Pelodiscus sinensis: one gene and its partners. The protein of the gene in region 1 purifies or fractionates together with the protein of each later gene. This does not show direct contact. Links are inferred from orthologs where the notes say so. Each region holds a gene or a part of one and is shown on either strand. Other genes may lie near its edges.

What was found.
Region 2: the proteins of PTPRO (region 1) and DNAJB11 purify together in Homo sapiens (affinity purification with mass spectrometry; 3 studies listed by BioGRID and IntAct, with this or other methods). This does not show direct contact. The link is inferred for Pelodiscus sinensis from reciprocal best matches to the Homo sapiens genes PTPRO and DNAJB11.
Region 3: the proteins of PTPRO (region 1) and SDF2L1 purify together in Homo sapiens (affinity purification with mass spectrometry; 3 studies listed by BioGRID and IntAct, with this or other methods). This does not show direct contact. The link is inferred for Pelodiscus sinensis from reciprocal best matches to the Homo sapiens genes PTPRO and SDF2L1.

Annotation. Positions count from the first base shown.
Region 1 is NC_134711.1:111,930,976-111,938,196, forward strand, and holds the start of PTPRO (receptor-type tyrosine-protein phosphatase O), read left to right. Parts: upstream 1-3,836; 5' UTR 3,837-4,386; coding exon 4,387-4,467; intron 4,468-7,221.
Region 2 is NC_134720.1:2,942,556-2,950,687, forward strand, and holds the start of DNAJB11 (dnaJ homolog subfamily B member 11), read left to right. Parts: upstream 1-5,048; 5' UTR 5,049-5,100; coding exon 5,101-5,225; intron 5,226-6,338; coding exon 6,339-6,495; intron 6,496-7,975; coding exon 7,976-8,073; intron 8,074-8,132. Other genes in the region: TBCCD1 (TBCC domain-containing protein 1), read right to left, coding at 3,317-3,667. UniProt on the Homo sapiens protein: As a co-chaperone for HSPA5 it is required for proper folding, trafficking or degradation of proteins.
Region 3 is NC_134725.1:16,832,756-16,841,162, forward strand, and holds the start of SDF2L1 (stromal cell-derived factor 2-like protein 1), read left to right. Parts: upstream 1-5,323; 5' UTR 5,324-5,825; coding exon 5,826-5,985; intron 5,986-8,407. Other genes in the region: CCDC116 (coiled-coil domain-containing protein 116), read left to right, coding at 206-1,198.

The sequences.
Region 1 (7,221 bases):
CCCCCAGCAGACCAGGGGGACAGGAGCAAAACCGCCTAGGTGGCGGGGGTCCCAGGTGCCGGCTTTGCTCGGGTGTCCCTGGTCTGCTGCGGGGGTCCAGCGGCTTTGCTGGACCCCCCCCCAGCAGACCGGGGAGACCGGGAGAAGCTTTTCTCGCCCCGGAGGACACGGGTGGCGACCTACCGCCCGTGAGCTCCGGGGTGAGAAAAGCCCCGTTCATAAGTGCGGATCCAACATAAGTCGGATCCGCGTAAGTCGGGGACTGCCTGTAGTGCTTTTCATCAGTAAATCTCAAAGCACCCCCGTTCTTTGTGTTTATCCTTAAAACACCCCTGTGAAGTAAGGAAATGTTATCTTCATTTTACAGATGCATTAGTGAGAAGCTAGAGCCTAGTTCCTCAGAAGTATTGAAATCAATGGAAGTTAGAAGCCTTAATATCTTTAAAGATCTTGCTGTAAGTGACGTGCCCAAGGTCACACAGGTAGTTTTGTGGTGGAACAGGGAATTTAACCTAGGTGTCCCAATTCCTAGGTTAGTGCCATAACTAAGGCTACAATTTTTTCACAGAGGTCTCAGAAGTCAGGAAATCAGTGACCTCTACAACTTTAGCCCATAGTGGTAGGGAGCTGCATGGTCCCCCTGAGATGGCTGGGAACTCAGGGATGTCCCATGATGACTGGGAGTTATGGAGTACACCTGCTTCCAGTGAACACCCTGCAGCTCCTGGCTGCTGCAGGTGAGGGAGGGACATTGGAGCTTTAAGCAGGCGCCTGCAAATGCCTAGCCACTGTGACTGGTGTAGGAACCCCTCCGGTCAGCTCTCCATTTTATCAGTTATTTTTAGTAAAACCTATTGGCAGGTCATGGGCTTCCATGATTTTTTATTTATTGACCTGACCTGTCCATGACTTGTACTAAAAATACTGGAGAAAAATCTTAGCCTTTGTTATAACAAAAAAGTTCATAAGCATGTGTCTCATTATCAAGTCCCACTGGCCAATATTCTAAAGTGCACTAGAGATAGGGATTTTCCTATGAGACAGATCCCCACACCCTTATTAAAACATGACAAGAAAGCAGTACAGAGGGCCCAGGGTGGAGGTTCAGGGTCTTTTTTCAATCATTTGATTTAAGGGCCAATGGGTAACTGGGAATACCGAACTGCTCTGTAGATCTCTTGCTTGCTATCCCCACCCGCCGGATAATGTGGGGGCATTGCATGCTTTTTTGTTGTATGCCTTTCAAACTGATGGTGTAGCATTTCTTCTGTACACAGTAGATAGGTGCTATTAGTCATGAAGTATTTTTGGGTAGTTGCTCATTAGAACCTTTTTAATTTACAGAAAATTGTTATAATTATTATTCTACTTGAAAATGTGATATTACAAAGGTTCTCGTTAATTATCTTATCTTATTGTTTTATTAATAAACAGATTCGTTTATTTCTATTTTTTGTGCAGGTGCTAAAAGGAAACAGAGTAATAAATTAATCTTTCCATGCTTCCCCATTTTTTTTATGGACTTATTTTTCTCACCATCCATTCAAATGGATCTTGTAGCTCTTTATTACTTTCTGACATCTTCTTGCAGTTTTTCAGTTGTTTCCCAAGTCTTTCCAGGGAACGGTCACAAAAAATTATGACTCTGACATGACTGATCACCACAGTGTGCCAACCATCACTTTGTTCACTCTGCTTCAATCTCACGTTCCTTTCTCCTTCGCTTTATCTGGCTTTTCTATTTAGATTGCAAGAACTTCTAGGCAGCCACTGCATATTGCCTCTGCCCTGCTTCCCACAATGCCCTGCCCTCATTTTTCTTCTCACCCCCTCTCCACTCCTTGCATCCTCCCATTTATATAGTGTCTAGCACAGCAGTGTCCTGAACTTGGTTGGTCCCATGGGATTACCCTAATACAAATAATTAAAAATGATGATCTTCTGTGGAGTCCAGTTGTATGTACACACTAGCCTGGTCATTCGAAAAGTGTTGAATACCCTGAACCCTCCCACTGATTTCAAAAGGCAGGAAGACGAGGGCGAGGGTCATATGGTAGTGACTGTGCAAAATATAAAAGTGAAGTTTTACCCTTTCTTCAACCCCTTTACACAAACAATGCAAACAATTTCCTTCTGGGTCTGTAAATGTGGGAAGCTTCCTGCGTCCTGCCCACTACCTAAATTTCCTATTCTTTTCTGACTAATCCCCATCAAGTGCAGGAAATAATTCAGCTAGCACCATCTAAGTGTCTAGTTCATTTTAAAAAAAACCTCACATCTAGCTCCAGATTCATAGCAATCAGAGCTTCTGTTGACTCACGACCCAAATTACGTGAAAATTAGAGAGATACTGCATGTAAGTTAAACAGAGCCCTCTTATTATCTAACTCGTTGTCACTGTTAGAAAAGAACTTTTAATTGATTAATTTAAAGGACTCATCCATGGGATTTTCTTTAATTTAGTAAGCAGCATTCTGAATTAGTGACGCGGAAACATGAGACATTTCAAAACATTTTAATTTTGCCACTGTATTTGCCAAACAGTAGATCACCGAGACAAAAAATAGAAAGCAGTCTGGGGCCAATAACAAAGTCCAATCAATGCAACCCCATCAGTCCAGCTCTGCTTTATGCTTCAGGTACATTTATATGAAGTGGTGTAATTTTCCTCATGCTTACATGGGTTATAACTCAACTGGCTTCAATAAGGATACTCCTGATTTACACCAGTGTAGCAGGGAATAAGAACTATCAAGTGGATTTTATAATCTTCTCTGAATCTTAGATTATTGACCAGATTCTTCCTCCTGGAGGTCTGAATGGAGTGTTTTTTGGGGGGGGCCTGGTTAAGCAATGATTTTAGAGCACTTGGGGATTCATACTGAATGCCTCCTGTAAGATGTTGAGCACCCGCAATTGATGCTCAGCACTAGACATGTGAAAGACTAGTCGACTACCCAATAAGCAAATGCTATCAGAAAGAGGCAGCAAGTGGGGGGGGGGGGGGAAGAAGGAGGTACTTCAAAGCGACAGTGCTGTGTGGACCCTGGGGTCAGCTGGGGGACTCCCCACTGACCCCAGGCTTCACGCATCTCTGCCTCTTTGAAATGCCACAGGGAGCCTGACTCGTAGCATTTGAAAGTGGCAGCGCCACACAGAGCCCAGGGTCAGTGGGGAGTCTGGGCTCTATGTGGTGCTTTTGCCTTTAAAGTGTAGCAACAGCTCTAGGGCTGGTTTTACACTTCAAAGGCAGAGATGCCCTATCAGCTAGTCTATGCAAAATACATCAACTATTCAATTAGTCAAATACCCACAATTTAACATCCCTACTCAGCACCTGGTATGATTATGCACTTGAGTCTGGATCCTGCAAAAACCTCTGGGCATGCTGAACTTTAAGCACTGTAAGCAGCCCCTCCAGAAGGCTGTGGTGATCTGTTTGGGTGCAGTTACCAGGGTCTTTGTGTACTAAGTCAAAACTGAGATCAGGGCCATAATTAGACCCTGGATCTTATTCTCAGATATTGTAACTGTGGGACAGGTATTCATAGAAACCAGAGGTAGAGGCAAGTGATTGGGAAACTCCCCTTTAGAAAGTCTGAAATCACCATCATGTCTCTAATATTTGCAGTGTTGTTCTACCGATAGTGGTGTTGGGCATTAGGGAGACAGAGTGGGTCTCCACAGGGAATAATCATGTTTTTAGAGCCATATTGACGCGGCTCCGTCTGGCAGCTTCATTTGAAACTACCTTTCCGGGAAGCAATGGGTGGGGCAGCACGCTGGGGGTGATTTTGGCCAGCTGCGTGTACGGCAAGAGCGGAGGGTCTAGCCGGGAGGCAGGGGGGAGCGGGCTGACTGAGGAGGAGTTGGGGCTTGTGACTTGTTTTGACACTGATCAAGGGGAAACAGAGAGCGGGCTGGGGAAAGTCTCTGCGGGAGAGCTCGGGTTGGGGGGCGCTCTGGGGAAGGGCGGAGCTAACAGAGGGTGGGAAGGAGAGAGACGGGAGGCTGCTCGCCACTTTCAGCCCTGAGCCTGGCTTGAGACCGCCTCGTTCATTCAATGAAAGCCAGAAGGGGAGGGAAACGCGAGGCTTCAGCTGATCACCTTCTGCACCTCCAAGGCAGGAGCAGCAGCAGCAGAGTCCCGCTTCACCCTCCCCCCCCCCTTTAACTGAGCAATCAAAGAAACTACTGGAAAAAATACCCCCCCCCCCCTAACCCACACATGCCGCGGGGAAGGCTGCGTGTCCTGCGAGGGCAGCCCGCGCCTGGAGCCGCGTGAGGCTGCAGCCATTCGCCATTGCCAAGCCCAGTCTGGAGCCAGCCCGACGCAAAAGCCTGCGGAGATTCCGGCGTGCGGTCCCGGCGGGGCGCTGCGTTTCAATGGTCCGAGCCCTGGCGAAGGGAGGGAGAAGCACCCGGATGCCCCTCTGCTCCCTGCTCTGGCTCTTTTTGTTCCTCAAGGTAAGAGAGAGAGAGAGAGACAGACAGCCCGGGCATCTGCCTGGCCCCGCGCCGCCTGCCACTGCCCTCCCTTCGCAGGGCGGCTAGTGGGAGCTAGGGCTGGGCGGGTTCGCTGATTGTTGTCTCCTGCCTGCGTGGGGCTTCGTGGGTGTGATTGTTGGGGTGGTTTTTTTTTTTTTTAAATGTGGATTTGGCGCATTTCTCCCCCTCCCGCCGCTCCCTTTGTGCTCTTCCACCAGGGCTGATAGGCACTGGCGGCCCGGGCTGGTTTGGTGGAATATGCTCCCTAAGGCAGAAGGAGGTCGCTTCCACTTGGTGGGGGGGGGGGAGTGGTCCTCTCTCGGCTTCTTGTGTGTCCCCGCAGCCCAGGGCGAGCAGGCATATGCAGCGGGCTTTGTGTTCCTCCGCGGAAACGTGTTGCCTTGAATGTGACTTACGACCCAGCGCTGCTGCTGTTATTGTTTGATCGCATGGTGCCTCTTGCCAGCGTGTTCTGGCTCCTGCGTCCTCTGGGCAGAGAGAGGAACCAAAAGGAGAGACCCACATTCAAAGTGACCAGCCGTGCTTGAGCTCACAGCCACCCCTCTTGGTCTTTCCCTTGCTCTGCTACGTGCGACCATCAGCCCCGGAGCACCTGCACATTCCCTTTGGAGATGCAGAACCTGGTCCTCAGCTGGTGACTATCCAGCTCCGTTCCAATGAGCTCAATTGAGCGATGTCAGTTAACATCTGGCTTTTTATGTGTCAATTAATCATGGCACGCATCAGAAATGTGTGCCATACACATGGGCCGCCAGGCTGCAGTAGCCACTGTAGCTTTATTTTATACTGTTCTGCCAGGGTACCGTTATTTAATTACTGGGATACATGCTGAAAGGTTGATAATATGATATTCATTCTGAGAGTGATTTGAAAATGTAATTGCACAGTGATTAAATTCCATGATGCAGTGAGTTTGCTTAGTTCTTTCCTTGCAACTGATTTTTTTTTTATCAGCAAACTGTCTAGGAGTGAAATGAGGTAAACTGGAGCTATCCCTTCAGCACCCTATTACTCTGTTTCTGCAAGATGCTGAAGCGTGGGGTAATTGAGAAGCTCTTCAATAAACATGCTCAGCACCAGTGACAGGATCGGCCCAATAAATAAGAGAACTTCAGAAATGTGTAGCCTGGATACGAAAATATTCTGTCACTAATATATCGGTCTTCTTCATGTGTTTAGTTTATTATATTGTGATAATATGTTAAAATGGAAAAAATTTAACCACAGCTTTGCTTGGCATTACCTTCAGATTGTTGTTGTTCTCTGCTCAAGCTCCAAATGTCTTCCTGGGATAAATTTTTCAAAGTTCTTCTTAATGCTGTAAGCTAGGTTACACATGATATTTTTATCTTGAAAGAGCAAAAGCATCAGCATTTCCTTAAACCTATTTAATATGCTTCATGTAACTTCACTAATAGGAAATATACATACTGCACAGGCATATGCCATTGTCTGTAATTATCATGGCACTGAAATTACAGTATTCTGCACATTTTACAAATCCAACACACAGTTTTGGATAATTGTCAATCGCTGCCTGAAAGAACTCCCCAGCTAAGGGCCTGATCCTACAGTTCCTCTCTCCTCTGAGTAATCCTTACTGGTGCTAGTAGTCTCTCAGCAATCAATAGGATTACTGTAATATTTTGCAGGATCTGGTCCTAGAACAGCAGTGCTGTCTGGTAAAGACTAACATTGCATTTGCAAAATTATTTAAGAGATGCTTCCACTGCATCTGTTCAAACTATATTTGTTGGAAGCTCCCCCTCACTTTCACAAGTGCTGAAACACATTTGTTTGAGCTGCAAGTGTGAATAGAAAACAGGCTTTTGTTTCAAAGAGTTTGATCACAGATCCTTTAAGGAGGAAACTGTTACAGGGCATTGACAGTCTTGTGGAGAACTGAAAGATCTGCACTTCATTTATATTCTAGCTTGGGTCCCAATTCAGCAAAGCACTTCAGCATGTGTATTAGTGTTTTGATGGCTATGAGGGTGTCATGCTCTGAAGTGTTTTGCCTAAGCAAGGCCTCTTGCAAATGTGCCGAAAGTTTGCTGCATGGAATATACTGTACCTGTAAAATAAATTCTAAGAAATGTGGGCTAGAAAAAGTTCAGGAAGCTAAAGCCTCAGGATTTCATTTCATCCCAGGAGAAATTTATCTGGCTCAGAATCAGTGATTATCAATAGTACCACTGACTGCTCAAGAAAGACCCAAGACTGGAATTTCAAGAGATACTTCAGAATTGTGTGGTAACTTGGCACTGAAATATTAGGTAAAGCTGCAGATCAGGATTGTGGAACATTGGAAGCACGTGAATATGATCTCAGGACTGCCAGCTTACTCTTATTAATCCATCTGAATGGTCATGAAGTGTTATGATGAGAGAGCTTCATCTGGAATTTGTAGGCTGGAACAAAAAGGGATTTGAAAGGACAGGACTCAAATGCATTGGAAGAGTTATCGGAGGGAGCTTGCATAGAGCCTGATACCTCTGGGTACATTTACACTACAATCAGAAGTACATCTGCAGCACATGTAGACCTAGTTAGATCAAAGCTGGCTAGACTAACATGAATAAAAATACATGGTGTTGTGGCAGCATGGGTAACAACACAGGCTAGCCAGGGTCCTGGGTGGGGTTATACAGCCTATGTTTCTGCTGCTCTGGCTTCATTGATATTGGTACTCATCATAGCTAAATCAAAATT
Region 2 (8,132 bases), on another chromosome or scaffold:
CATGCCCCCTAAAGGGCATTTCACAGAACAGTATTAGGGTGTACACAGTTAACCAATGAAAACCTTCATGATTACATGCAGAACCTCCCCTCCTTCTCCTACCCCTCTCCCCCCCCCCCCCCGTATCAAGGGCTTAAATGCCAGCTCCCCATGAGCACTGGCTGGCACTTACCCGCCCTCTCTGCTGCCTCTGATGCAGAAGCAACAGCACAAGGGAGGGGGAGTAGGCATGTGTGCCGGACCCTGCCTCTGCTCCCCCCCCGCCCCCCGCTCATGCTGCTGCCTCTGTATCAGAAGCAGCAACAAGAGGGGTCAGGCGGCTCCATGGGAGCTGGCTCCCCACATGTGCTGGTAGATGTGTAACTGCTGAAATTTACAGCAGTTACACATTTACTTAAATAGATGCATTTTTACATCTCTAAACAGTATAGCCCTCTTTTTGCACAAATCTGTTTTGCAGTCTTGACTATTGCAAGAGTTACCAAAGGCCTGCTATTCAATAGCATCTGGGCTTTGTGGATGAGCACAAGACCCAAGGAGCTGGTGCAAATGACTAATTGATATTTACCTCCGGGCTAGGAAGTTTGCTGTTTAAGCTCATTTGATTTCAGGACTGTCATTTTTTTTTATATGTGCACTCCTTAGCATGTCTCTTTACACCACATGGGTTTGCCATACGAAAGCATTATAATTTCTGAAGACCTCTGGCTTTTCCAGCACAGAGAAAAGGAAGTGAAATCGGGTTCCTCCCATAAAAATAAGCTTTCCTTTAGACCAGGTTTTCCCAACCTATGGGTCGCCTACATTTCAAAAGGGTCGCCAAGTGTCTCCTCAGGTGGCTCTGCCCCCTCTGCTCCTCCCGTTTTTGAATTGCCGTGGGTCACCAAATCTTCCTGAATTGTCAAAACAGGTCCCCATCTGGAAAAGTTTGGGAACCGCTGCTCTAGACCCTTCCATGAGGGCCACAATCAACAAATACTGAAAGTGTTTAGTTTGTCAAAAAGCATAGAAAAAGTTCTTTAACAATGACATGCAAAGAGCAAATATTGGACTTGTCCTTTTGGGTGGAGGTGGGTCATTTCTCTACAAAAAAATGCAGTCCAAACTGTGTTCAAAGGAAGACAAAAGCCTTCCTCTGCTTTCCCCCATGGCCCATTACAAATTCAGATCCTGCCTAATCTTAGAATGACTAGAAAATGACATTGCAAGAGGCAAGAAAAAGAGGAGTGGATTTTTAATCAGACTGTTTAAAAGTCCTTTCTGGTAAGACAAACTAACTAACATGTTAAAGAATGATTTTGCTGAGTGGCCCCACCCTTTGTGGAGAAACAAATTTTGAGACCTCTCTTTCCCCCCTTCTCCCTACAAGTCAGCCAGAAAAGCCAGGGGGGAAATAGTTGACAATCCTGATAAAGTGAAAAAGAAAAAAATGTAGATGTTCACGTCTATTTTACACATCATACAGGAGGAAAAAAGGGCTAGGCTAATTTAATTTGTCTGCAGGTCACCTTTACGGGAGTCTCCTTTGTGCTCACCTGCCCATGTTGTGTGAAAAAACAATAGTGTATTAGGAACAAATCAGACTTGGGATTTCTCTGCTTTTAAGGGTATGACTGTATTTCATATTCTTTATGGAAATATAGAATATGCTTTTTACAAAATAATTCTTGCAAGGTATCATTGGAAAGCTTGTAATCTGCAAGCTGTGTTTATTCTATTTGTGTGCATGTATCATTCCTGTATTTGAAGTTAACATATGACATGTATACCTGTTCGCTAATCTAGACATGCTAGGCGAAGGTCATTTGAAGTACACAAGGAACTTAATGACCTGGTACTCAGGGCATTGATCTCTAAATAATCTGGGTTTTCCTGTTTGCTGGGACATGGTTGACCCAGCCAAGACAAGTGGTCAGGTCATCTGATACAGGAACCCATTTTGGATGCTGTACTTTTTCATAGAAAATGAAAAGGGCTGATCTGAACACAAGGGATTCCTGCCTTGAAAATATCGAGATATAGGTAGGAAACCAAACAACAGAGACAGCCACAAGACTTGACACCCCTGTTTAGCATCTCAGAGGTCTGCTGCAACCACTTAGAACTGGACATTAAGAAGGCTCAAACTCAAGTTGAAGCTACCCATCTTGTGAGGAAAGATGATTAGAACTACTGTTAGGGTCAGAACTGCAAGTAACCAGTTTCTTTGAGTATTAGAACCACACTTAGCTGGTGTGTTTTATGTTGCTTTGTAACTTAGTTTGATCTGTCTGCTATTACTTGCAACCACTTAAATCTTCCTTTTTATACTTAATAAAATCATTTATTAATTCCCTGGTGTAAATCATTGTTACTGAGGGGTAGGGATGTTAAAATGTTTATTTTTGTAAACATGTAATCATTGAAATTTTCAACGGTTACACATTTACATGCAAGGGGGACAGGCAGCAGCAGTATGAGGGAGCCGACAGCTCTATGGGAGCCAGTGCTCATGGGAGCTGGCTTTTAAGCCATCTCCCCGGGGGGAAGGGATAAAGGGGGGCTGCATGTTACTGTGCATGTTAACTGTACACATTAAACATCCCTGCTGGGGGGAGAGAGCATAATAGCTGTGCATCTTTCTCTTTCATTGATAAAGGGGGTTAAAAATTTAAGAGCTTACTCTGTATAAAACTTTATACAAAGCAATACTGATTTACGTGGGTTTCTAGTCCCAATGGGGCTGTGCACCTTGGTGCTCTGTCCCCTCCCAGAGGTGAGCTAAGTGTCTGTGTGGCTCTGTTGAGAACTGTAACCCTAACTCTGTGCCACTGCCACAGAGACCAGACGGCCTGGCACAGTAAGACGGGGCAGGCTCAGTGGTATTTCAGCACATCAAGTGACAGGCTCAAGTGGATTTCTGTGACCAAACTCATCACAGAAGATTTAAACAAGATCCTGGGAGAAAGGGAGTATGTCAAATGTTTTACTCTAGAAAGATGTCCTAGTTGGTTATACCAACCGTACGCAATTCTGCTGAACAGCATTTGATCTCCACTTGAAAAGGCAAGGTAGCATTGCAGCTCTGAAGGGCAGGGCTGGTATTAACCCCAGTCAAGCAGAAAGCTAACCACGTGAATGGTAGCGTGACCTGCATACACAGACAGCAAAACGATCGCTGCCCCGGGGAGCGTGAGAAAAAGCTGCTGGGATGGGGCTGTGCAACGTTTCGGACCCAATGGCTAGGCGTAGGCGGCCGAAGGTGCTAACCCTACGGCCCTGTGCCGTGGCCCACAAGTGTGAGCCCCGAGAAGGATCACAGGGTTGTCTCTCGTGCCTTGCTCCGCTGCTGCTCCAGCTCCTCGTCGGAGGCACAGCCAGACAGCACCTCGGCCCGCTCCAGGCGCTGCTCCGCCGTCCGCTCCGCCAGGCTGTCGAAGACCTCGAAGTAGAGCCAAGCCAAGTCCCTGGCCAGCTGCAGCTTTCCGCAGGCGATGTGGCGCCACATGGGCCAGGTGAGGCGCGGGTAGCAACCCTCGGCAGCCCGCGCCCGGGCGTAAGCGGCCATCTTGCGGAGGTAGTGCGGGCCCAGCTTGGCCGGGGGCAGGAGCTGCAGTGCCCCCACCAGGAAGGGCTCCGTCCTCACCCAGAGCTGCACCGCGGCCGGCTCCATGGCAACGCGCGCCATGGCAACCTGCGGAGCGCACACACTCAGCACACGGCGCCCAAGCGGGCCACGCGCCCCGCCCCCCCAGCAAGAACCCCTCCCCCCGCACTGAGGCAGCGCCCCGCCCCCCCAGCAAGAACCCCTCCCCCTGCACTGAGGCAGCGCCCCGCCCCCCCAGCAAGAACCCCTCCCTCTGCACTGAGGAAGCGCCCCGCCCCCCAGGCGAGAGCCCCTCCCCCTGCACTGAGGCAGCGCCCCGCCCCCCCAGCAAGAACCCCTCCCCCTGCACTGAGGCAGCGCCCCGCCCCCCCCAGCAAGAACCCCTCCCCCTGCACTGAGGCAGCGCCCCGCCCCCCAGGCGAGAGCCCCTCCCCCTGCACTGAGGCAGCGCCCCGCCCCCCCAGGCGAGAGCCCCTCCCCCTGCACTGAGGCAGCGCCCCGCCCCCAGGCGAGAGCCCCTCCCCCTGCACTGAGGCAGCGCCCGCCCCCCCCAGGCGAGAGCCCCTCCCCCTGCACTGAGGCAGCGCCCCGCCCCCCCAGGCGAGAGCCCCTCCCCCTGCACTGAGGCAGCGCCCCGCCCCCCAGGCGAGAGCCCCTCCCCCTGCACTGAGGCAGCGCCCCGCCCCCCAGGCGAGAGCCCCTCCCCCTGCACTGAGGCAGCGCCCCGCCCCCCAGGCGAGAGCCCCTCCCCCTGCACTGAGGCAGCGCCCCGCCCCCAGGCGACAGCCCCTCCCCCTGCACTGAGGCAGCGCCCCGCCCCCCAGGCGAGAGCCCCTCCCCCTGCACTGAGGCAGCGCCCCGCCCCCAGGCGAGAGCCCCTCCCCCTGCACTGAGGCAGCGCCCCGCCCCCAGGCGAGAGCCCCTCCCCCTGCACTGAGGCAGCGCCCCGCCCCCAGGCGAGAGCCCCGCGGCCCCAGCTCTAGGCGAAGGCCCCGCTCACCGGCCCCGCGCCTCGCCGCGTTTGAATCCCAGCTCTCCCCTCAGCAGCGCCTAGCAACCGCACGTGCGCACTGCGGCTGCGACCAGCGAGACGTTAGCTAGACCTGCCCCGCCCCGCCGCTCCCTCACCACAGCGACAGGGGTCAGCACGCGACTGTTGTTCTGCGTGAGCAGGCCACTGTCGCAGTGGTACAGCGCTCCTCCGCCCCCGCTGTGATTGGCCGGGAGGGGCGCGCGCGGCCGGGGATTGGCTAGCCCTCAGCCGGGCACTCTCCGGGTGAGGGATCCCTGGGAGAGGATGTCCTTCCTGGGGTTGTGATTGGCCCCAGGTATCGGTGACGCAGATAGCAGCGATTGGTCAGGAGGCGCAGTGCTGATGTAGTGGGCTGTGATTGGCCCGCCCGGCCGGGCGGTTGGTGAAGTGTGCGGCTGTGATTGGCGAGGTGTGACCGGGGCCGCGCGCTGTGCCGCGCGCCCATTGGCCCGCTCTCTTCGCCGGGCTCCGTTTCATATCTATGGTTACCGGCGCGCCGGGCTCCGGGAGCCGGCCCGAGACCCCCCGCGCGCAGGCCATGGCCCCCCGCTCCCTCGGCCGCCTCTGCCTGCTGCTGCTCTACCTGCTGGGCGAGGCCAGCGCCGGGTGAGTGAGCGCGGGCGGGGCCGTCCCCCGGCCCGCCCCTCCCCCACCGGGCCCCGAGCAGCGCCCCTCCCCCACCGGGCCCCGAGCAGCGCCCCGCCCCCACCGGGCCCCCAGCAGCGCCCCTCCCCCACCGGGCCCCGAGCAGCGCCCCTCCCCCACCGGGCCCCCGCAGGCCCCCAGCAGCGCCCCGCCCCTCCCCCACCGGGCCCCGAGCAGCGCCCCTCCCCCACCGGGCCCCCAGCAGCGCCCCGCCCCTCCCCCACCGGGCCCCCAGCAGCGCCCCGCCCCTCCCCCACCGGGCCCTGAGCAGCGCCCCGCCCCCACCGGGCCCCCAGCAGCGCCCCGCCCCCACCGGGCCCCCAGCAGCGCCCCGCCCCCACCGGGCCCCGAGCAGCGCTCCGTCCCGCCCCCACCGGGCCCCGAGCAGCGCTCCGTCCCGCCCCCACCGGGCCCCCAGCAGCGCCCCGTCCCTCCCCCACCGGGCCCCCAGCAGCGCCCCGTCCCTCCCCCACCGGGCCCCCAGCAGCGCCCCGCCCCCACCGGGCCCCCAGCAGCGCCCCGCCCCCACCGGGCCCCCAGCCCTTCCCCCACCGGGCCCCCAGCAGCGCCCCGCCCCTCCCCCACCGGGCCCCCAGCCCTTCCCCCACCGGGCCCCCAGCAGCGCCCCGCCCCTCCCCCACCGGGCCCCCACAGGCCCCCAGCCGCGCCCAGCCCCTCCCCCACCCGGCCCCCAGCAGCGCCCCGCCCCAACCGCTCCCCCAGCCCCTCCCCCACCCGGCCCCCAGCAGCGCCCCGCCCCAACCGCTCCCCCAGCCCCTCCCCCACCCGGCCCCCAGCAAAAAGAGGGTGCAAGTGTAGACATACCCACACACACACGGACACCCTCCACACTGTTTTGGGCCAGTCACTGAATACGTCTGTGCTTCAACTTCTCCACTAAAATAGTTGTCATGGCACTGATTGAAACTCGTAGGTGTTCCAGGAGGGTGCCTTCACCCTACTGAGCTGTTCAGTTGCAGTAGCAGTGGTGGTGTTCTGTGGTTGTCTCGTTAGAAGTGGTGCATTTGTGGCAGAGGCCATGACTAGATGTTTACTTTGCTCTCTATTTCTCAGGAGGGATTTCTATAAGATTCTGGGGGTGTCCCGCAGTGCATCAGTAAAAGACATTAAAAAGGCCTATCGGAAACTGGCTTTGCAGCTTCATCCGGACCGCAACCCTGACGATCCGCGAGCGCAAGAAAAGTTCCAGGATCTGGGAGCTGCCTATGAGGTCAGTGAGTTAATAGAGTATCTGCTCTGAGTACTAACAAACATGGTTTTCCTGTCTGGGTGGAGTCTCTTCCTCCATCTCCTCATTTGCAGGAGGGTGCAACCGGTTTTCTAGTGATGGCCTTGGAGCTGTTGTTAATCAGGGAGAGTCAGCAATGATTACATTTCAGTGTTGGTAATGAATTGCTGCAACAAAAGTGAAAAGTCAGACAGGTTTATTGACTGGAAATGGCAGAGGAGTGATAGCGAAAAATTGTGAAGAGCCTGCCCTGTGTTAACCTGATTGCTGTCACTCTATTTAAGGTTTCTAGTAGAGGCCCCGGGCCAGCTTGTAGATCCCAATTATCTCATTTTTGGAGTTAAGTTTCCCCTGCAACATGCAAGGGAGGGTGTGGAATGCTTCCTTTTAATGGAGTTTGAAGATGCCTAGTTTGGATTTGCGCTAGCTATTGCAGTAGTTGGGGCCAAAGGCAGTTTGATTACTGTGGATGCTCAAGATGTAGCCACCTCTGTCGTAGCACATTTTCTTCTCTGGAAAACAAAAGCTTATTCTTTCAAAGCACCAAAACTTGATTGACTGCTCCACTTCAGCCACAAGATATAGGCTTGATTTGGGCTTCATAACTGGCTGAAATTCCATGACCTGTGCAACGAAGGTCAGACTAGATCAGGGATGGGAAATCACAAACAGCCCCCATTTAAGCAGTGCGCTCTCACTGGTGCAGAACTTCAACAGCCATCTCTCATACTTTTGGCTCAGCAGATCAGTACATCTAATTGTGACACCTTGCCTGCGTTTGGGACGTTATTCTGCCTTCATATGGCCAAGACCCCTGCTCTCCAGCTCGCTCTCTTTCCCAGAAGTGAGCGCCAATGTTTGCACCATGGCAGGTTGATCATCCTCTTTGGTGGCTTCTCTTTGGTGCTCAAACTTGAGATGATGGAGGCAGGGTGAAAGGTTATAAAAGGCTCTCTGGACAAATGCTCTTTCTGTATTACTGAGATTGGGGCAAGGAGCAGGTGCTGCTTACTGGGTAACGGGATTTCTACATCCCTAGGGGGAGTAGCCGTGTGATTCACAAAGAAGAGCGACACACTTGTGTGACAGACTGCCGAAAGGACTGTGTTTTTGAGCTCTTACTCCGCTGCTAATCCTTTTTCCATTAGCCCACCAAGAGTAATTGAAACAGCGTTGAATGATAGCGCGTCTGGGTGGTTTGCTGTTTCGATGAGATGCATGTGATATGGTGACAAGAGACTTCCAAAGAGCCAATTTCTGCAAAATAAAGATTCTTGTTAAACTGACAACCTTGGACTTGGTGCTGATTATGGAGTGGTGACCAGCACCGCCATAGTAAAAGTGATCTGGATCTCTCCACTGCCTCTTATTCCTCATTTGGGGTAAAGGCCGGGTTCCTCTCAAAGGCTTGTTTAAATAACCTGACTCACTAGTGCTTGTCCCACATCCTCTGCCCTCTCAGGTGCTCTCAGACGAGGAGAAGAGAAAGCAGTATGATACCTATGGCGAGGAGGGATTGAAGGATGGTCACCAGGGTTCCCATGGAGACATCTTCTCACAGTAAGCTGTCACCCCTGCAAACTGCTCTGCAGGCAAGGAACACTAATTAAGGACACGGC
Region 3 (8,407 bases), on another chromosome or scaffold:
AACAGAGAGAGCAGAATTTGGCCCAACGGTCAAATTAGTATAAATCAAGAACAGCTCATGGCAAACCATGGAGATATACTTGGTTGCAAAGTTGTGCCTCAGATGTTTGAAATAATGTTAACTTGCTAAATTTTACATTTAAAATGTTGGTATTAAATTGACTTTTTAACGAATAACCTTTTTTTACTGTTTTGCCTACTGACAGATTTTGTATAAAGATCAATCAGGTGGACGCATGAAAGGCAAGCTTTACAGAAGACAAGAGGAGATTGTTAACTTTCTTGTGGAAAATGCAGCCAAACATGTATTGTACAAATATAACTATGAGAAGTCACTGTCAGAAAAGCTTGGGTTTATATCAGTTCCTGTAACCAAAGTACTCCTGGAGATAATGTTTGGCTTTAAAAAATTAAAAGGCAGTGGCATAAGATTATCATCACAGATAGACTGGGCCGAAGTATATCAACAGGTACATGCAAAAAGACCTGCTAAACCTAAAAAACCTGGTTTAAAGAGTGGTGACAAAAAAATCACTCATTCTAAACCAAAAATTATTACTGGCAAAGTAAAATTAATTAAGAAACCCACTGAACAAATCACTTCTCTGCCCAAAATAACTGAAATAGTTCCTCTAAAATTCCCTGATGATTTCCCACAAAGTAGAGAGGATTCACAAGGTCAAGATTCTGTTGAATCTTTAAGACAAAGGTCATCTTCTAGCAAGTCTATTATTCCTGCTGATAGTCAGAGAAAATTGTCTGTTGTTTTGCTGGACACTGAAGGCCAGAATTCTACAGAATCTCCTAGGCAATCCTTGTCTTCTCAAAGGGCTAGCATCACAAGTGAGAGCAACATAAAATCACCAACTGCTTTACCAGACACTGAAGTCCAGAATTCTGTAGAACGTCTATGGGAAGCCTCATCTTCTAGAAGGGCTAGTGTCACCAGGGAGAGCAGCCGAAAATCGTCAACTGTTTTACTGGAATCTGAAGGACAGAATTCTGTAGAAACTGTATGGCAAGCCTCATCTTCTCGAAGGACTAGCATAACTGAAGGGAGCAACAGAAAATCGACTATTTTACCAGACACTGAAGGCCAGAATTCTGTAGAGTCTCCAAAGCAATCCTCATTGTCTCAAAGGACTAGCATCACGGGAGAGAGCAGCCAAAAATCATCAACTGTTCTCCCCAAAATTTGAAATCCTATCAGTTGAAAATTAAACAAATATATTTGTAGTTTATTGTCAAATTTCTTCTGCTTATTTACATGTATTACTAACACAATACCTATTTTAGGTCCCTACTCCACAAATTACATGTCAGGCAGTTATACATTTCCAAAAATTCTTTGCAACCTACCCTTTCTTTTCACTACTTGTAGCTGTCCTTGAGTGATTAGTTCCTATTACAATTATTACTATCGGTTATTATTTGTAGTGCTGCTGTGCTTAGAGCCGCCACTCAGGGATCCAATATGCCAAACAAAGTGAAATAATAAAATAACTCAATCTGGAGAGGCATAATTACAAACAGTTTATCAATGTAGGAGAAAAGAAGTGGCAAAATAGAATAGTTGTAATGAGCCATAGAAGAGTTGGGGGGAGGATAATTTCTTTCTCTCCACTGTAATGTCATTGATTTCAGTGGAAAAACTCCTTATTTACACGCACTGATCTCTACAAGCCTTGGGACTGGTCCTGTGCAAAGTCAGACTCAGGCCCTGAATGTCTTGCCTCAAATTAGCAGCAATCTGAAGACTAGAATGCAATGTTTGGACATACATCCTCCATACCCAAGCACTTATATATGATGAGTCTAGCTAAATCAGTACAGTCTGGTGTATAGATTAAACCTAAGTGCTGCCTGCCATTTTAGCTTTGTTCTCAATTACTGCTGTTGTCATGCACACTAAACATAACGCTCAAAGCTTGTTTCACAAAAAAACCCTCAAGTAAAGTACAGTTGCCGTGTGTCAGAATACTCTTCTTAAGATACACCCCCTTAATCGCTTGGATACCAGTCCTGCAGCTCTAATCTACAACTGATTCCTACTGAAAAGTTCTTTAGGGCCTGATTTTCATGGATGCTTAGCTGTGTTCTCTGCAGTACAGCTTCACAAGTGATCAATCAGCCCTGCCCAGTAAGTGAGCTCTGTGCACTAGGCCCTGAGCTTCTGATTAATCACATGTGAAGCTGTGCTGCAGTGAAGCTTAGCAGGAGCACTGGTGCTCAGTAGCCATGTGAGTAGGAATCTGAATGGTTAATGGGTTAACCAGTAAGCATCACGCTTTCCAGCTAATGCTTCCCAGTTATGGTTAATTAGTAGGAGCTGGAGTAGCGCCTTGCTCAGTGTGGGCAAGCAGTTGCTCAAGCTCAGAAGGGCCCACTGTGCTGCAGGTAAGGGCACTCTAGACCTGCTGGAGCAGTCCCCACCCATCATGAGCTCAGCCTGCCCAGAACAGTGCACCATGGGCAGGGGCATTCCAGCCCAGTCAGAGTAGCCCCCACTTGCAGCAGGCCTGGCCAGAGCAACCCCACTCCCAACCCTATTGAAGGGGTTAACCAGTTAAACAGAACATAACATAACAGGAATTTACATCCCTAGTTGTGAGTACTTAGTATCTCTAAAAATCAAGACCACAACCTAAGGACTGTAAGATTAAGGCTACATCTACACTGCAGGCTTCTTGTGCAAGAACTGTTTTGTGAAAGGTCTTGCACAAGAGCATGTCCACACGACCATGGGCTTTTGAGCAAGAGATGTGCTTTTGCACAAGAGCATCCATGGCAGTGTGGACGCTGTCTTGCGCAAGTAAGCTCTGATGGCCATTTTTAGCCATAGCGGTTTCTTGTGCAAGAAATCCCTGTTGCCCCTCCACACTGCCTTCTTGCGCAAGAGGTCTTATTCCTCATGGGGAGAGGAATAACTCTTGTGCAAGAAGCCTTCTTTTCTGGTGCTTTAATATAAATTTACTTGCACAAGAACACGCATGCAGTGTGGATGCTCAGCAAGTTTTTGCGCAAGAATGGCCGTCCTTGCGCAAAAAGCTTGCAGTGTAGATGTAGCCTAAGTGAGTAAGAGCTAAAGACATTCTAGCTGTTGGCTGAATTGTGGTTAGTTTCACTGATTTCGCTTCATGTGCATGAAGAGAAATTATAATTCTGCCCTCCAAGAGGCACATCTCTATTGCACCCCATCATATAATTTCAAGGGAGAGTTTATCTGCAGCTCACAGCAGCCTGCTAAATCCAACAATAGCTCTTATAGCAATAACGTGGTTGTTAATTGCCATAGTTGTTTGGCACTGATGGGGTTTTTTGTTGGCAACTGTTCTAACCCAATTATGTTTCTAAAGTACAACTGAAAAGCACTGTAAAAAGCACCACATAAACTGCACTAAATGCACTGGGAATTAGTGACCTCCCAGAAAGACAAACAGGTGCCAGCTAAAGCCCCATATTATTGATTTTACATGGCTAACATAGCAACCACAGACATCTGTTTTGTCCTGTTTAAAAAGCAGTAACAAAAGCGATCTGTTGTCTTAGAAGAAGAGAAGAGCCTTCAAGAAGAAATAAAAATAAGGTATTCAAATGTCAAACTGCACCATATTCATTTGCATTCTACTGGATCAGATACAATCAACAAGCAATAGAAAAGGATTTTCTGATTAACAAAAATGGACATAGTGCAGAATGTGGGGGTACCATTGTGGTTCAGGGAGATTTAGGACTGAAGTTTAATTTAATCCAGTCTATTTAAAAAGGCATGAACAAAAAGTGTGGGACACTGCTCTACAAGTATAATAGGTTAATATAGGCAAGTCAAATAACAAATCTTTGAGTGAATGATTGAGTTTCATCATGTAGGGGGGAAGCAAAGGGCTTGGTAGATTCAGAGCTGGTGGAAAATGGAGTCTAATGAGTATCTCATGATGTTCTCACTAGCCCAGAGTGGTGATGTGCTACCCAAACTATCCAAGATAATTCAAAGTAGAGTCCCACTTTTATGCTGTTGCATCTTTGTTGCTTGGCGACTTTGTTCTGACCCAAGAAAATTATATTGCTTTCATAAGAGCATTACATTGGGTAGCTTGGCATCCTCACACCATGCTTCCAGTCATGAATGTAGTATATTATACAGGCCCTATATCCAATGTCAAATGCATACTTAAGACAGTCCACGTAGTTCTCTGAGGCTACGTCTACATTGGCATGATCTTGCGCAAATACTCTTTAACGTGAGAGTTCTTGCGTTAAAGTATTTGCACAAGAGAGCATCTACACTGGCATGTGCCTTTGCGCAAGAGCATCCGTGCCAGTGTAGACACTCTCTTGTACATGAAAGCTCCAATGGCCATTTTAACCATCGGGCTTTCTTGCGCAAGAAATTCATATTGCCTGTCTACACTGGCCTCTTGTGCAAGAACAGTTGCACAACAGGGCTTACTCCTGAGCAGGAGCATCATAGTTCTTCTGCAAGAAGCACTGATTTCACACATTAGAACATCAGTGTTCTTGCGCAAGAACTCGTGGCCAGTGTAGACAGGCAACATATTTTCATGCCAATGTAGACACAGCCTCAGGCTGTGTCTAGACTGGCCAGTTTTTTCGGAAAATCAGCCACTTTTCCGGAAAAACTTGCCAACTGTCTACACTGGCTGCTTGAATTTCCGCAAAAGCAGGGACGAGCTCATGTAAGATTGTCAGTGTTCTTGCGGAAATAGTATGCTGCTCTCATTCAGGCAAAAGTCCTTTTGCGCAAAAGGGCCAGTGTAAACAGCTCAGCTTTGTTTTCCGCATAAAAGCCCCGATTGCGAAAAAGGCAATTGGGGCTTTTTTGTGGAATAGCACGTCTAGATTAGCACGGACACTTTTCCGCAAAAAGTGCTTTTGCGGAAAAGCGTCTGTGCCAATCTAGACGCTCTGTTCCGAAAATGCTTTTAACGGAAAACTTTTCCATTAAAAGCATTTCCGGAAAATCATGCCAATCTAGACGCAACCTCAGTGTCATCTCCTACCCTGTTACTCCTGTAGATAAAGTGACGAGTAACACTATTTGTGACTTAAAATTAAACCAACCCTTAGCAGAACATGTTTATTATCCTCAAAAAAAAGGAGGGATTTTTTTAGTTTGGTGTTGGGGGCTTTGTTTGAAAACTTTTTAAGTTTTTCCATATTGAGGGCTTAATTTTGTTTTTTTGGAAAGGCAGAAATTCTCAGTGGATTAAAAAAAATAGATCAAGTCTGCGCATGGTGTTGCATCACTGCATATTGACGTCCCACTGCAATGGAAGGCAGTCAGGGCAGGCTGAAGCATGTTGTGCTTTGCTTGATGTGTGGGTGCCAGAAGGAGCTAGCTGAGCGCAGGGCTGATGGATGCAGCTGGGCCTCTTGCCGCTGCCAGTCCCTACAGCAGTGACTGTCCATGAGGCAGCCCCGCACATCGAAGGCCCAACCACCTGCTAGTTGCCACCTGCCCTACACGCGCCCCACTGACTAATGCCCTTGGTCTCCGAATTTTAGTTTCCCTTTGGGTCAGTTCCCTGCGCGGTGCCACGCCGCCTCTTCTGATTGGTTGCCTGGGCATCCTCCGCTGCCCAATGGGCTCCCCCTTCGTGTACGCTGTGTGCGGCCCGAGCAGGTGGCGCCCCAATGCGGCGGCGAAGTCGGAAGAGAGGCGGGCGGGGATTGGCAGGCTGCGGCGCTGGCATCGTGCGATTGGCCAAGATGCGGAAGCGGCAAGCGGGCTGCCGGTCGGTTGCGGAAGCGGCTGGGGCGGTTAGTTGCGCGCGCGCGGGCGGGCGGGCGCCGGGCTGAGGAGCGATGCGGCGCCGCTGTCTCCTGCTGCTCCTGGCGCTGCTGTGCCAGTCGGGCCGCGGCAAGGAGCCGGTGCCGGGCGCTGTGACCTGCGGGTCGGTGCTGAAGCTGCTGAACACCCGGCACAACGTGCGGCTGCACTCGCACGAGGTCAAGTACGGATCAGGTGAGGGCCGGGGGGGGGGGGGCAGGTAGGCCGGACTGAGGAAGGTGGGAGCGCGGGAGAGCTGGGAGGCGATGTCTGGAGGGGGGGGTTGCTCTGTGACGACAGCGGGAGGGGGGTTTGCTCTGTGGCGACAGCGGGGGGGGGGGGTTGCTCTGTGGCGACAGCGGGAGGGGGGGTTGCTCTGTGGCGACAGCGGGAGGGGGGGTTGCTCTGTGACGACAGCGGGAGGGGGGGTTGCTCTGTGGCGACAGCGGGAGGGGGGGTTGCTCTGTGGCGACAGCGGGAGGGGGGGTTGCTCTGTGGCGACAGCGGGAGGGGGGGTTGCTCTGTGGCGACAGCGGGAGGGGGGGTTGCTCTGTGGCGACAGCGGGAGGGGGGGTTGCTCTGTGACGACAGCGGGAGGGGGGTTTGCTCTGTGACGACAGCGGGAGGGGGGGTTTGCTCTGTGGCGACAGCGGGGGGGGGGGTTTGCTCTGTGGCGACAGCGGGGGGGGGGGTTTGCTCTGTGGCGACAGCGGGAGGGGGGGTTTGCTCTGTGACGACAGCGGGAAGGGGGGTTGGCTCTGTGACGACAGCGGGAGGGGGGGTTGGCTCTGTGACGACAGCGGGAGGGGGGGTTGGCTCTGTGACGACAGCGGGAGGGGGGTGACGTGACCCCGGGCGCTGCACTCAGCTGCCCTGGGGAGCCCGGCTCGGGCACTGCCTGCGGGACTGGTGGGCTGGCAGCTCCCTGCAGCGGGCGGGGAAGGCAGCTGCTGCGGGGCGCGGCTGGAGCCCAGAGGGGAGGCGCTGCCCGTCTCGACGAGGGTAGCAACGGTGCCAGTGCGACTGCCTGAGCCGGGGGGGGGGGGGGGGGGGCTGCCCTCATCTGTAAGCACGAGGCTTTCGCGGGGCGGGGAGGGTGGCTCCCGAAGAAACCTGGCGCTGTTAGGCGAGCGCCGCTGAGTGGGCTCCCGCGAGGGCGAAGGAAGAGGGTGAAAGGAAGGGCAGCTCCCACGGTTAGTGCCTCTGCCGCAGAAGCCCTGTAGGAGGGAGAGAAAATGCAAAACTGGCCTTTTAGTTATCCCCGGATTTCATTCTCCATACAGAGGGCATGTCAGCAGCCAAGTCCTCACATACCGCAGGCTTGTCACTGAGCTTCACATCTTCCTTAGCAGTAAGTCTGCAGGACTGAGCCATTCAGAACAGTTCGGGGACGTCCACAAGGACGTCTGGAGCCTTCATTAAAACTGCTTGATTTAATGAACACGCTTCTGTTTCTTCAGAACCCCATAGTCTATGGTGCAGAGCACCTGCCTCTCCCGCTGAAATCAGTGCAGGGAATGGTGAGGCACAACACTAGTGTTTCCTGTAAACTGTGCATTTGGGGTCCCAAGACAGATGCAGATATTGCCCAGCTTGATTAATGGCTACGGTTTGTTTTTCCACTGGTGGTGCATATTTGCACAGGCCTTGGTACACACATAGAAATATATTTCGCACATGGATTTAAAAGATTAGAGAAAATATTGCACAGAACTTTTGAAAATCATGGCATCCCTGGATAATATTCTTATGTATGTTAGTTTCTCTTTGCTCCTCAGATGTTCAGAATTTTTTTTTTCTGGTTTTAGATCACAGGTGAGATTTAGAGATGTTAGTGTATAGTCATTTAAATGATTAACCAATAAGACTGATAAGCTTGTTCTTATAGATTAATCTAAATAACTACATGCACACTTCTTCATTGCTACCTCTATCAAAGGCAGTAGGGGAAGGCAGGTGAGAGCCAGTTCTCTGGGGGAGTCAGCTTACAAGCCGGCTCCCCATGAGCGCTAGATCTCACGGAGGTACCTCTCCATGACCCTGCACTGCTGCCTCTCTGTTAGCAGTGAGGAGGGTGAGAGCTGGCTTCCCACTTGTATCCACTCTCACAGAATTGCCTGCCCTCCCCCACACACACTGCTGCCTCTCTGTGGTTATGTCTAGACTGCATCCCTCTGTCTGCGGAGGGATGCAGATTAGGCAGGTTGACATTGCAAATGAGGCAGGGATTTAAATATCCCGTGTCTAATCTGCATAAAAATGGCCACCGTGTTTTGCCAACTCAGCACTTTGTCAACTCAGCACTTTGTCGGCAAAAAGCTGCAGTCTAGAAAGGGATCTGTCAAGAAAGAAAGCCTTTTTCGATAGATCCCTTATGCCTCCTGCAAGTTTATGCTGCACTTTAAAGTGCTACACACTCCTTACAGGGTGGGAGAAAACATCACGCACGCTCCCTCACCCCCAAGCCCTGAATGGCCTGGGGGCGGGAGGAGCACGAAAAGTTTCCTCTGCCCTCCCCCCCACCCCACGAGGAGCACACAGCACTTCAAAGTGCCATGTGCCCATGCAAGGCGTGGGCAGGGTGAATAAAGCTTCGTGCAGCTCTCCCACCCCCAGG